2 linked regions of the Mytilus edulis genome follow. The protein of the gene in region 2 purifies or fractionates together with the protein of the main gene of each other region. This does not show direct contact. Links are inferred from orthologs where the notes say so. Each region holds a gene or a part of one and is shown on either strand. Other genes may lie near its edges.

Region 1 (7,586 bases), about 49 Mb from region 2:
TTTGGGTGTTATTGTCTGAATTTGAAGCCAGTTCTTGTATAAAAGATAGAAGTTGTGTTTCACATGATCTAGAGTGTCTGAAGCCGTGCTGGAGGTCGTATAATAAATTGTTTTTTTCTAAGTGATTAATTAAATGTTTTGTTATGACATGTTCCATTAGTTTGCAACTGATACAAGTGAGAGAGATTGGTCTGTAGTTAACTGCGTTGTATTTTTCACCTTTTTTGTATGCTGGTGCGACATTTGCATGTTTCCAGTCAGATGGTATACAGCCAGATGTAAGCGATTTCTGGAAAATAATGGTGAGGATAGGTGCCGTTATGTTTTGAAGTTGTTTTAGAACTCTGCCGCTGATGTTATCTGGGCCAGTGGCTTTGTGCGGATTGATGTTGTTTAAGAGTTTTTGTATGCCAGGTGTTGTAATTGTGAGTGATGGAATGACTGGATGAGGACTTGGTCCTTTATCAGGCATATTACTTGCTGTTTCGGTGGTAAAGACTGATTGGAATTGCTCATTTAAAATGTTGGCTTTTTGTTTTGTATCAGTTGTTAATTGTCCCTCTTTTTTCAGGGGAGCAACTCCACTATTGTCAGTTCTGATGGATTTAATGTAAGAAAAGAGTTTTTTCGGTTTTGATTGGTTGCTGTAACTTTGGTCAGGGTCATTTGTTGGAAGGTCAAGGATCATTTTTTCTATGTATGTACAATAGGCACGTCTCTGTTCTTGTTGGACTTGTTGTTTAAGTTTTTTATATTTAAGTATATGCTTTTTGTCCTTTTTCATTTTAGAGTACAATTTATTCTTTTTATTTATCATTTTTCTGAGTGTGTTGTGCACCCAGGGAAGTCGGTGTTTATATGTTAACATTTTATGTGGGATGTTTGTATCTATTGATTTTGTGATGTTGTTTTTAAATAAATCCCACATTTCGTTTATAGTACTGTTGTTGTTGTTATTCATAACAGTAAGCTCTTCGAGTGTTTTTTGAAGGTCTGCTTCTATGTTTTCCCAGTTCGCTTTGTCGTATTTGAGTATTTTTCTAGGTTGTTGTCTGATTTTACGAAGCCAAGTGTCAATTTCTATGTAGACGATGTCATGGTCACTTAGTCCTAGTGGTGGAAGTGTGTTTACTTTGTTAACAGTTGTTGGATTGTTAACTAGGATTAAGTCTAATATTCTTTCTTTTCTAGTTGGTGTATTAACTATTCGTTGAAGGTTAAAATTTTCTAGTAATTCTAAAAGTTTATTATGATGTTCAGCGTCCGGTTTACCCGGTATGACCTGAGGTATAGACCAGTCAATATGACCTAGGTTAAAGTCACCACCAATCATGATATTAGTATTTGATGATTGGTTGATTCTACTAAGTGATAGTTCTAGTTGTTGTAAAGATGTTCCTTTATCTGATGGTGGTCTGTAATATGCACCTATTAACAAGTTCTTACTACCAGTCATGTTTATTTGAGACCAAACTATTTCACAGTCAGTTTTAAGTTCGCTTACTTCTGTGCTTATAAGTTCTTTATTAATAGCAATAAGTACACCTCCATGACTTTGGTTATTTTTTTTTGGTGGTCTGTCTGATCTATAGACATTAAATAGTTCTGATGGAAAGAATTCATATGATGATATATTTTTGTCTAGCCATGTTTCAGTGCCTATGATTATATCAGGTTTAGATGAATCAATTAACTGATTGAGATCTTCTTTTTTATTTCGTATCGATTGAAAGTTTAGGTTAAGTATCCTGATAGGTTTTTGATTTTTAGTAGTGGCTTTTTGTGATGTTTTGACTTTCGGTTTTGATTTAGTCTTAACCATAGGCGATGAAGATGCCTGAGGAGCACCTAGGCTGTTATTGAGTGATGTATCACTCATACTCCAGTTACTACTAGAATTTAATGATATGCTTGATTGGTTATTGAATAAGCTAGTGGAGAAATTTGGCATTCCACAATTTGTGCATTCCCAGCTAATATTACTAGCATTCATACACTCGTAGATGTGAGATGGAATACTCTGACAGTTAATGTGAAACCAAGTATCGCAGCTGTCGCAGCATAGTGCCTTTTGATTCCAGGTTACTGCTTTTAGGCATGTACCACATGGCCATCGTGGTTTTTTGTTTTGACACTTTTGTTTGGTAACAGGTTTACTTTTTGGTTTAATATTTTTCTTTACAGCAAGTAAGTGGTGTTCATTATAAAAGGAGGGTAAAACCCTAACGTAACGGTACCCAAATTGCACCGAGTACCCAAATTGCACCTATTTAGCAAAAATAGCAGCGGAAATCTTACAAGATTTCATAGAGACTAAACAATTTGTATTTTTATGATTTGATACTAAGCACATCTTTCAGCAAGGGTAAAACTTTTAAGATATGCCCAAAACGTTCACAGTATTTATCAACAGATAAAGTGTTTACTGAAAAAGCAAAATGTACTGCGACGTCATCTTTTTAAAATGAGCAAATACAATATGTTACAAGTATCCATTTAAAAAAAAATGAAGATTAAGCAGGTACTAATATCCAATTGTTCGAAATATTTGAAGAAATTAAACAAAAGCTCTGTTATTAGACTTTTGACGATGTGAATTAAAGCATGGATGCAATTTGGGTACTCCTCATTTCAGAATCATTGCTGGTTTGGAGGTCAGTTTAGACCAGTTTTTCTATGCTTCCATATGGAATAAAAATCAAATTGGTGTACCTTTTTGATAAAGAAGGATACGGCTACAAAATAAACACAGAATAGACATTGTTGTCTTTATCATAAAAAAACGTAGATGAAAAAACTGTCAAAATAGGTGCAATTTGGGTACCGTCACGTTACATACATTCATGTTCAGAGCAACGCAAATATGCATGTCATATCAAATTCTAACAGTACATACCTTTTTATAATAAAGAAAATTACGTTCAAAAATAAAGTACGGGAACAAAATAAACAATGGCCAAAATGCTTTCTGAATAAAATTTTATGGTAAACCCCGAGACAACCCGAAAAAGGTACAACCAATGACAATTTAAATTTATAAAATGCAACGCACAAGAATGGCCTAGAAAAAAATGTTATCTCCCTTTTCCTTTATTATATGATTTCTTTAAAACATTTTTTCATATAAGAGATGCTAAAGTGAATTTCAGTGGTCCAGGATGACGCCCCCAAATGAGAGGCATTGAAAATGGTAATTTAGTTGATAGCATTTAAGTAAGATGCTGCAAGATGTATACATATATAAAAAAAAAAATCCCCCAACTTATGTCAATGTGAAATTTTGAAATAATAATTTGCCTTTATCACTCAGTATGGTTCAATTTGGTAAAAATAAACTAAGAAACATCATGATGAGTTATTCACTTGCAAGTGAAAAATTCGAGCTCATTGTATTTGTATTCATGCTGAGACTACTATGTGTTATAGAAGTCTCAGATTTGTGTGACCATCAATTAACACCATAGAAAGAGATGGATCACTATGAATTATGCATGTTAGTTATAAAAAGGAAAAGAATGTCAACATTGAAAGTGAAACTAAGGTAAACTATTTGTTTGACTGATTCCATCCCCCAAAACTCATTTTTATACAGGTAAAAATTATGATTAACACATTTTCTTAAACTTCAATGTGAAATTAAACAGACATACAAAAATCCAATTGTGACGAGTTCACTTTCTATTTATATCTAAATATATGTTTATATTGCTTATATGTCTTCAAAGGTCTTCAATAGTTAGATGGCCTCTAGACTAAAATACAAACAAAACTATGGTACATATTATTGAGCCCATGCCTTGTAAATTGTTTATTTTAGACTTTTCATAAATTGGATATATGTTTAAGAATGTTAAAAAGAATATGAGATTTTCAGTCAAATTCGTGAACTTGAAATTGACAGCCAATGCCCTTTTAATGTGTCGATCCAATATTCTTTGAAAAATTAGTGCATTTCACCCAAATATACTGTTATGTATTAGTCCAGTAAATTTTAATGAATAAAGTTTTTAAACATCTCATAAAAATTGAAATATTTGCTTACAGAAAATTCAAATGTTTGCTACCAGGGGTGGATTTTGGATTTTGAAAAAGGAAGAGCAGGCTTACAAAGCCAATGTATGGAGTGATAATTTTGAAAAGGTTTATACATTTATTATATAATCATGAACCTCCATAAGGGGGCCAGGCCACCTGCCCTCTTAAATCCCCCTAGCTACCTTCCTATTTTCAATAGACTGGTGTCGTTACGCTATGCCATGCTCTTAATCATTAGTAATTAGATAATGAAGGCAGGCTCAAAGGACAGCAACATCATAAACAGGAACACAGGATCTTTTTCAAATGCCAAGACAAAAATTTACTTTTGAAAGACTACATAATATTTTTATTTTGCTTCAAACTACAAATTGGCAAGTTGTTTATCAGCAACACCAGACAAAATTAATGATCAACAACAGCCTCTTTACAGTCTTTGTCATAAGAAAATATGTATTAAGCTTAAAAAAAAATTAAGGACAATTTATGAACTTAATAGCTTTATAATTGATGTAAGGTTATTGTATATAGTGAAAGTGACATTTGTTGATAAAGAGTTAATGCGTATAGAGAAATGTAAAAGATGTTTTAAAGATAATGGTGAAGTAATGTCTTTAAAACCTTTATGAATACCAAAAGCAATTTGTTGTAATGAATTCTTATGGCTGACTGTGTATTTGTCTAGCTTTTACTGCCTATAATGTTATTTATGTTTCTGTGTAAAGTTTTGTTTATGATAGAGTGGGGTGCTCATTTTCGCCATATCTTTCGATGTTTTCTACAGTTTATGTTCAGGTCTATATGTTTTTGAAGTATACTGATATTTCTATATGAAGATAACTTCAAATGCAAAACATTCCTAAGCTTGAAAACATGTTTGTTTGAAAATAATCATCTGTAAAGTTAGATTAAAAGGTGTTTGAAATTTCCTGAAGTTTTGTCAATGGGGGACACATATTCGCCGTTTTTACACATCTATTTAAAACCAAAAAACTGCAGCTTTATATAATATTCATCATATAAATTTCATTATAGATGAACAGCAGACATTTCAAAGGTGTAAAAAAACAGAAATTTAGGCCAATCAGTCAAAAAAATGCTAAGAAAAAAATCTTTGAAAATCCTGTTTTTCATTCAGGAAATTGACCGAAAATCGTTGTCTGTTTTTCTATCTTTTGCAGTAAGTGTTGTAATTTTGTTTAAGTTTAAAAAATAATCATATTTGTTATAAAATTATAATTTATCGGCATAATTCTTCCATTTCAGCCATCATGTGAAGTGTTAACACCTCAAAATCATAAAACGGTGAAATTGTGTCCCCGGCGAATATGGGCCCCCCACTCTAGTGTTTTTGTCTTTTTTCTACTGGCTATGGTATTGTCCGTGTAGTAATGTTTCTTCTTTAACTGATCTTTTTTAATTGGTTTCTTTTCATCTTTGCAATTATACTGTGAGCTTATTTCATCTTTACTTTTGTAGCTGTTATACAAATTGATTTAAACAAAGTCAAATTTATCTTAAAATATCATTTATTGTAAATAATTCATTAAAATAATTCTTTAATCATTTAAAGCAATAAATCAAATAAATATTATAGAAATAAAATATCACATTTATTAGTCTTTCAGTAATATTGTTTACAATATAATATCACTTCGGGTCAGACAACATATTTAAGGTTTAACCAATTTTCTACAAGTTGAATTATAAGAGAATGTTTTTAACATGTTTGATAAGTATTATTGGCACAAAAACAGAAAGATTAATACACATTTGTTTAAAGCACTACAACTGAAGTTCACAATTACAATACACAAAATGTTAAATTAATAGCATAAAATCATATCTGTGGTACTAACAGTTATATGGATTTTGAGATTGACATTAACGAGAATTTTAGAAAACAACATAATCCTGTATCCAGGACGATTCCATTTTTTTTTTTAATTTAAGAAAGCTGGTATTAACGAAAATAAAATATTTTCTAATTTCTTGACAATAAAAGACCTGTAACTCTGCAAAACACATCTAAAAAGACATCAAAGCAAGCCTGAATACCATACTCCCAAAATAGTGATAATGAAAATTATAAAATCAATGCATATAGATTTTCACTTTTTGAGGAAAACATAGTATATTTCATTTAAAGCATTTTGATATGATCCCCTTGCTCTTTGTTTTGTAAATTTAAATACACATGGATAACTTTTAGCCCTCGAGTTAACCAAGGTCATATTAAGATTATTCAGCAGTATGTTGTTCAGCAGTAATCAAAATATACAAATATATATAAATATAAAACATCATATATATAACCTAAGTTAAGAAATACATATAATCATGGGCAGTCACTCTGTCACAAATGTAACAGATTTCAAGTACAAACATTAAACTAAAAAAAATAAACAAAAGGTTGCAAATCTTGTTGTGCTAGCTATACTCCTATTGTAGTTCAGAGTATCAAAAAAGAACAAGCAGATAGTTTTCTGACAGATACAATAAGCAAATGAGAAATGCCTGTTGCTCAACAAAGAAATGTATGACAAAATATTTTAATTCATTTATCACATTGAATATAGGTCAACAAAAAGGGTGTGTCTAACACATCCAAACAAACAGCTGTGCCAAGAACCAATGATATGCCTTGATAATGCATATCGAAAGCTCTGTGGAAAAACATGTCTTTCAAATTGAACAGTTTGTTATGTTTACCAATTCCAATAATTATGTAGTCATTGTACAGACATATCAAACATATTTTCTGGTCAAACAGAGGAACAAGGTGATTGCAAATTGAGTGGGGTTTAATATAAAAGACAATCAAGGGCTATAACAATTTCTTTGTTAAACATTCTATCATTATACATATTAAAAAATAAATAAGTATTTTATGGACGGACATCCAATAACAAATTGAACCATGACACAGAATTTTATTGATGACATAAGGCTATCAGATACACACATTCTATAATAAATAAAACAATATTATAGACAGAAAATATCTAAAGACATATATTTTTCGTGCAAACTTGACTTCACCATCAAAATATAAAACTTAAGCATGGTAAGAACAGTGTATATTTCAAGAAAGTCAGAACAAAGATGTGTGGTCAACATACTTATATCATGTTTTCTTTTTTGTCAGAAACAGTTTCAGATAGGAATAAACTAATTGAAATTAATAGACATATAATTTTATAAAGTATCTTTTAAATACAGGAAGACAATTGGATGAATAAAATATAAGATACTTGCTGGATTAATAGGAACCCAGTCATTCCTTAAAGATGAGTCTTCTTAAAATGGCAGACAATTTGTAATGAGCACATCCATGAATGATCATACAAGCAAATGAATGAAACAACTGAAAAAAACATCACTAAATCATGCTTCTCTAAGCAGGGGAATAATAAAGACAACATCAGAACTTTATTATACCTTTTAAAAAAGTAATGATTTTTTTTTAGAATTTGAATACAAACCCATCCTTCCTTCTTGTGCACCCCTTTCCCAAAATCATACAAATTGCAGTATTTCAAATTGATACA
Region 2 (7,890 bases):
TAGTAAAAAGTGAATATACATTGTATATTGTATATAACAAAGATTTAAGTTGATTCTGGACAAAGAAAGATAACTCCAATTAAAAAAAAATCTTGCTATTGCACAATATTTTGCAATTAGATATTTCTTTCTTACTATTCTGGACAAAGAAAGATAACTCTAATTAAAAAAAAAATTGCTATTTCACAATATTGTGCAATTAGATATTTCTTGCCATTGCGCAATACTGTGCAATTGAAAAGACTTGCTATTGCACAATACTTAATATAATAATTTTAGATCCTGATTTGGACCAACTTGAAAACTGGGCCCATAATAAAAAATCTAAGTACATTTTTGGATTCAGCATATAAAAGAACCCCAAGATTTCAATTTTTGTTAAAATCAGACTAAGTTTAATTTTGGACCCTTTGGACTTTAGTGTAGACCAATTTGAAAACAGGACCAAAAATGAAGAATCTACATACACAGTTAGATTTGGTATATCAAAGAACCCCATTTATTCAATTTTTGATGAAATCAAACAAAGTATAATTTTGGACCCCGATTTGGACCAACTTGAAAACTGGGCCAATAATCAAGAATCTAAGTACATTTTTAGATTCAGCATATCAAAGAACCTAACTGATTCATTTTTTGTCAAAATCAAACTAAGTTTAATTTTGGACCCTTTGGACCTTAATGTAGACCAATTTGAAAACGGGACCAAAAGTTAAGAATCTACATACACAGTCATGACAGTTAGATTCGGCATATCAAAGAACCCAAATTATTCAATTTTGATGAAATCAAACAAAGTTTAATTTTGGACCCTGTGGCCCCTTATTCTGTTGGGACCAAAACTCCCAAAATCAATACCAACCTTCCTTTTATGGTCATAAACCTTGTGTTTAAATTTCATAGATTTCTATTTACTTATACTAACGTTATGGTGCGAAAACCAAGAAAAATGCTTATTTGGGTCCCTTTTTGGCCCCTTATTCCTAAACTGTTGGGACCTAAACTCCCAAAATCAATACCAACCTTCCTTTTGTAGTCATTAACATTGTGTTTAAATTTCATTGATTTCTATTTACTTAAACTAAAGTAATTGTGCGAAAACCAAGAATAATGCTTATTTGGGCCTTTTTTTGGCCCCTAATTCCTAAACTGTTGAAACCAAAACTCCCAAAATCAATCCCAACCGTTCTTTTGTGGTCATAAACCTTGTGTCAAAATTTCATAGATTTCTATTAACTTAAACTAAAGTTATAGTGCGAAAACCAAGAAAATGCTTATTTGGGCCCTTTTTGGCCCCTAATTCCTAAAATGTTGGGACCAAAACTCCCAAAATCAATACCGACCTTCCTTTTGTGGTCATAAACCTTGTGTTAAAATTTCATAGATTTCCATTCACTTTTACTAAAGTTAGAGTGCGAAAACTAAAAGTATTCGGACGACGACGACGACGCCGACGCCAACGTGATAGCAATATACGACGAAAGGTCGTATAAAAATGGCGTCGGGCTACAAAAAACGATGAAGGTTTGAACGATGGTGGAAGACAATTTAACGATGGTGCAAGACAATTTAACGATGGCGCGAGTCATTTGACGATGGCGCAAGACATTTGAACGATGGTGGGGCGCCATCGTTAAACAGGCCATGGAGATCCCTGCCTTCTCGTAAATATACGTTGATAGTGGGTCTTCCAATGGATAGAAACAAGTGCCTGTGTTAGGGATGCCTAGAATGACTTTGATGTGTTGCATTTCTTATTTTTTTATCCTGCCAATTTCCTTTTAGTCCGAGATTACTCTGACGTCCAACGGCTGTTTTGACAGACAAGCTGGGGCCGTGGGACGTCAGAGCTCGTCCCATATCAAAAAGTGGATATTTGCCCACCCAAAATAGATGCGCTGCTTCATCGCTTCAGGTGCAGATTGAGGGCCTTGGAATTATATAAATCGGGCATCAATCTGTTCATTTTTCATTTATCTCTTCATTTATGTAAGTTTCACCTACCTGCCAACCTTTATTTTTCCATATTTTAACAGTTTTCACAGAGACCCATCGATTTCTGCATTTTGACTTTCATTTTCAAATATTACCACGTGACTACGAGAAAACAGTGCAAATGACCATAATGTAAAACCTCGTTCATTTACGATGCAAGTTATCTAAGTGTCCGAGAGCTTCCAACTGTTACCGTGGTCGGAACTAAATGCTTAATACCGATCTCCTGTAAAGGAGGTGAAAAATCGTGGTTGGCTCCTAAATGTTAAACATCGATCTCCTATGAAGGAGGTGAAAAATATAAATATTTGCATATTTGAGTCTCGAGACCATGAACTCTCTCGTAACTTTGACGTCCATTTGAAAGTGAAAGTCAGAATGCAGAAATCGATGGGTCTCTGTGAAAACTGTTAAAATATGGAAAAATAAAGGTTGGCAGGTAGGTGAAACTTACATAAATGAAGAGATAAATGAAAAATGAACAGATTGATGCCGATTCATATAATTCCAAGGCCCCCAATCGGCACCTGAAGCGACGAAGCAGCGTATCTATTTTGGGTGTGCAAATATCCATTTTTTAATATGGGACGAGCTCTGACGTCCCATGGCCCCAGCTTGTCTGGCAAAACAGCCGTTGGACGTCAGAGTAATCTCGGACTAATTTCCTTTATGTTAGTTTATTCTCATATTATAATACACAAATTATCATGCTGCTAAGCGTCTCAACATGACATTTTTTTACTCAAAACTACTGTCCTTCTTTATTCATCCTAGCTAGCCCCATAAATATCAAATTGTTTGAACCTGAGACTAGTACTATAACAGTAGTAGTAGTCTCAGTTTGAACCAACTGCAATGCACGTACACATTGTTTTGTATAGAAATTCGACACTTGGGTCAACATCTTCTGATAATGTCTCCTCCATGCTCCTTGCTTTTGTATGTCTTTGCTTTCTTTGACTTTGCTATAAGAAGTTTAAAATAACGAAAACCGGTAAACAATCGAAATTCTGTTCGATTGACTGTGATCAGTGTATTTAAAGTTTGTATTTGCAAAAGTCAGTTTTCAGTTTTAATAAGAACATTAATGACTTAGAAAAGTCTAAGACAATTTCGTACCATATTCATTGCGTACCGGCCCACTTCCAATATTTCCACCTGTGACCTTGCTACCAATGAATCCAACGTTTTTCAGCCGATGAAGACAAGAGATAATATAACATAATTTACTCGCGACTAAGTTTGTTTAGATTTTACACACGGAATTTATTTTTTCAAAATCAACATTAAAATGTTTTCTTGTTTCGTTCCTCTGTTCGATAGGCCGAACAGTAATTGGTCCGAAATAATGTACTGATATAGTCTTGAATAAAATGTTTTTACACCTGAAAACCTTAAAATTGCAAACTGATCACAATCCTATCCTTAAAATCAATAAAGAAATCATAAATTTGTCACTTTTTTGACAAAACTATATTCTTACCTTTCTTTACTTTCTTCTTGAGTAGAGATTTCAAAACAACTTCCTGTGTCCTCTAGTGGTGCTCGTCGTTCTTCACGATTTAAGAAACTCTGAATATATATATCCCACTTTGCCCTCAACATGGGAGGTGGTGGTCCGAGACATCCACATGTATCTGGAGAAGGAAACTGGGGAAATTACACTAAAGGGACCTTTATACATTCCCTAAGCAAGAGGAAGGTTCTTCACCATTATTCGGTATGACCTATAAATTCAGTTCTGTACTAGTATTTACACTACAGACATACAGCTTTATTTATAGTCTACAAACAAACAATTGCAAACATAAAAGCTTTAAAACAAATAAAAAAGAACTGAAAACAATAAACACTATACATACTACACAGGAGTATGTTCACAGGCACTTGTTTCTATCCATACGAAGGTCGACTATCCATATAAATAGAAGAAGGTGGCTAACGAAATTTTTTTTAGGTCACGACAGTCTCCGCTTGGGACGCTTTTTCTACCCTTCAACTTAATGCTAAAAATCCCTACCTTATATGAATCGATTCAGTGAATATTTTCCTTTAACACTAAACTAATTTCATAATCCCCACAGTGTTCCTCTTCACGGTAATCTACTCTCAATTCACTAAACCATGTCCAAAAGTTCAACTACCATCTTTCCAATGTATCTACTTCCGGTTGTGGGCAGAATGCTATCTTTTTAAAAACGAAATGATTCTGTCAAATTACCAGTTTATTATTTTCATTATCAATATATTTTTAAAGATGAAATTTCACCGAAATAAGTACATTTATTGTTGTTATTAAAAAAATCAGAAAGTCAGAAACTAATTTGAATGAATTCGATAATACTAGAGAATTCCGAATGTATATGGTAACTCTAAAGAATTTCATCGATCTTTTATTTTGGAGGTAAAAAACGTATCAGAATTAGGGGAAAGAAACTGAGTCAATGAAAACAAAATAAATTTACTGCGATGTTAACCGGAAGTAGATACATTGGAAAGATGGTAGTTGAACTTTTGGACATGGTTTAGTGAATTGAGAGTAGATTACCGTGAAGAGGAACACTGTGGGGATTATGAAATTAGTTTAGTGTTAAAGGAAAATATTCACTGAATCGATTCATATAAGGTAGGGATTTTTAGCATTAAGTTGAAGGGTAGAAAAAGCGTCCCAAGCGGAGATTGTCGTGACCTAAAAAAAATTTCGTTAGCCACCTTCTTCTATTTATATGGATAGTCAACCTTCGTATGGATAGAAACAAGTGCCTGTGAGTATGTTACAATTTGCTGAGTTTACTATCCATACGAACCCTTAAAAATCACAAGGTAGGAAGCAACCATACATTTTTGATAGTGTACATAATATAGACAGACAAATGTTGATTCAAATCAGACCAGTAGGTGCAATGTAATATGAGGCAGGCATTACCTGTCTGTGAAAGGGTATGAAGTCTGTATGAATTATTTTTTTGTAACTTCAAAATCTGTTACAAAAAGAAATGGAAACACCGTACATAACGTCATTTCCGATTTTGGTTGTGTTGTCAGGGATTTTACTTGTGACGTAATTTAAGTTATGCAGGGGTCACCACACCAGGCGAAGTGGGCGACAAAGTCGCTCTAGGTCTCCCCACTTCGCTCTAGAGAAGCCAGACCTGCCAACTATCCTGATTTTCGCGGTATCATCCCGATTTTTATCCCTCAACCCGAATCCCGATATCGGGATTGTAAAATTAGTCAAAATCCCGATTTTCACCAACTTTACCCGAAAAAATTGTTGTTTACCGTTAAAGTCTTTCTAATCAATTTGAAAAATCTATAATTTTACCTGGGGACATATTATGACAAGTTAACGACCCTACGCTAATTAACAGTCACAACAGGTGTCATAATTACTGGTTGTATGTAATCAGATTACCTAATGGGTCGTAATAGTTCTCAAAATTAATTTGTATACACAAATTTGGTCAAACAGCCTTTCAATTTTAATCAATTTTATATCATACCAGCACAATTTGCAACTTTGCCGTAGTTCCACAACAAAATCATAATTAATTGAAAGTTGAGAACTGTAATGAACTCTCAAGAAAACATCGTTTATCTTGAAATCCGTTTAATTTTTGAAACCAGACGACGAATGTCTGTTTGAAAATCAACGCCATTTTGTATTCTCTTCTACTGTGTTACTGAATAAGCCTCTGCCAGTAAGAGCACCTCTGAATACAAAGAAAGATAACTCAAATTTTATCCATTTTCTCTGATAAGACTATAAGACTATAAGTATAAAGAGTAAATCAAAATCTGTCTTCATCCTTCTAACTTTAGGGCATGTAGTTTTAGGTCTTTTGATTCAAGGTTCATAGATAAGAAGGTCTTTAGAGGGGGAAAAAGGGGGGTGGGTCTCTACTTTGAATCCTTTATTTTTAATGCCATTTTTCTCTATTCTTCAGTTATTTTGTCAATTTTATAATTTAATAGTACAAGAATCATGCAAATAAAAAAAAATGAGGGCATTCAAGCTCATCATTATTATACCAAAAGAAAAAAGAAGAGAACTTAAGACTTTTAGGAGAGAAAAAATGCACACAGAAAAGTTGCTAAAATTGTAACCCTTAAAAATCTGGTCGAGCGCTAAATCCCACATGGAGATTTTCAAAAGTTGGCAGGTCTGCTCTAGAGAAGCTCCCGGGAGAAGTTTATGTCTCCCTCGATTTTCAGTAAAATTCCCCAATGTTGCCTCATGATTTTTGAGAAATTCTCTATTCAAACGTAAACGACAGATATGTATTGAAATACAAAGCTTGTTTTCCCCAAATTCAGAACTGATTTATCCGCAATAGTATCATACGTCAACATAAAAATTGCATGCCCGGGTGTACTATAAGCTAGAAAAATAAAAAAATTTCGATTTTGTTATGATTTCTTATTGTCCGCCATCTTTGTTATTGAAAATTGTAGATGGTGCCATTTCATGTTTTCAACTCATCATTTACCTAATACATATTGATATGCACTATTAATTTTGATTTTCTTATATTTACTGACAATATGTGATGCCCCATACAATTTTTTTTACAGATTTCTTTTCAAAAACAATATTATTAACTGGTATCCGCTTGTATTTATACTACGTAGGTAGTTTAGTACACTACTGTGAACCAGCACAATGATTATAAACTAAAAAAACGCAGTCGATTGTTCGTTCATGATTTTGTATTATTGCAGACAAATAGAAATATAAAATTGAAAGCAACACTTTTGATAATTTCTCGTGTCCGAAGCTCTTTTCTGGATTTACCTTCATCAGGAACGCTCAAAGGTGTATATAAATATGTGGTATGCCAAACATCTAAAAACTTGCGAATACTGGTTAAAAACAAAAAAAACAAAATAATTTCATATTACCGGAAAACTCTCAACTTAATGACTTATTTAAATTTGGTTGATAGAGCTCATATTGATTTTAAAGAATACTATTTGAGACAAATGACACCTCTTGATCATAATATTGGGAACAATCTGCTTAATCCAACATATTTTTCTGGTCCCCCAGTGTGCAGTGATCTGGAAGGTTTTTTTTACTATGGGCCCAGGGCCCCTCAAAAATGAATTCAATGGGCCATTTAAAAAAATAATGGGCCATGTTGTCAAATGAGTGGGCCATTTGAATTGACTTGTGTAAAAAAAAAAAAAAAAAAAAAGTATCAGTATATTTTGGCAAAGAGGTGTTGGTACTTTGTTCCTGTGATTTTGTAATTTCAATTTCAATGAATATACAATAACTTCTTCCAACCCCAACAATAATTAAGTTAACCTTTATTTACAATGTTTAAACTGGTACTGTTGCCTTGTTCATGTTCATGGTTTTTTTTTGTATATTAAATTTGGGTCTTCGTCGATACCATACTTATTCCAGACGTTCCATATCAGACGACATTTCAGGCATTTCCTCTGCACTTCTTGTATTATTAAAACGTCATCACGGTGACAAGAATAACAGTATAGAGTACCATGAATTCATTGAACAAAACAACAAATCGCTGAAGTCATGTTTACAAAATGTCAAAACGAGCCAAAGACCAAAAAATTACCAGGACAATAAAGCGTCTTTTATGGAGACAAAAACTATATTCCTAAAAAGTCTTTGGGGTTCTTTAATCGAAATAATAACAAGCTAAACTATATGAGATTATTATTAGAGTTAGATCTCGTCTGTACTAGCCAAATTTCACAAATGTAAAGTTGTTTACAAAAAAATATATATCATGAATGATGCTTAATTACGTTTTTCGGGTTATCAGTTAGACCGCATGGTTCTATTATTACAATAGGAAAACACCCGAGATGTTACATCGCATGGTTCTATTATCATAGGGAAACACCCGAGACGTCCCAACA

Evidence for each region. Proteins that work in one complex are often made in the same cells at the same time.
Region 1: the proteins of PHD finger protein 14-like (region 2) and high mobility group protein 20A-like purify together in Homo sapiens (affinity purification with mass spectrometry; 3 studies listed by BioGRID and IntAct, counting the BioPlex papers as one, with this or other methods). This does not show direct contact. The link is inferred for Mytilus edulis from reciprocal best matches to the Homo sapiens genes PHF14 and HMG20A.

The regions. Positions count from the first base shown.
Region 1 is NC_092345.1:104,507,723-104,515,308, forward strand, and holds the start of high mobility group protein 20A-like, read right to left. Parts: upstream 3,046-7,586; 5' UTR 2,897-3,045; intron 1-2,896. UniProt on the Homo sapiens protein: Plays a role in neuronal differentiation as chromatin-associated protein. Acts as inhibitor of HMG20B. Overcomes the repressive effects of the neuronal silencer REST and induces the activation of neuronal-specific genes.
Region 2 is NC_092345.1:55,178,050-55,185,939, forward strand, and holds the start of PHD finger protein 14-like, read right to left. Parts: upstream 3,028-7,890; 5' UTR 2,922-3,027; coding exon 2,861-2,921; intron 1-2,860. Other genes in the region: uncharacterized protein, read left to right, coding at 3,599-3,715. UniProt on the Homo sapiens protein: Histone-binding protein. Binds preferentially to unmodified histone H3 but can also bind to a lesser extent to histone H3 trimethylated at 'Lys-9' (H3K9me3) as well as to histone H3 monomethylated at 'Lys-27' (H3K27ac) and trimethylated at 'Lys-27' (H3K27me3).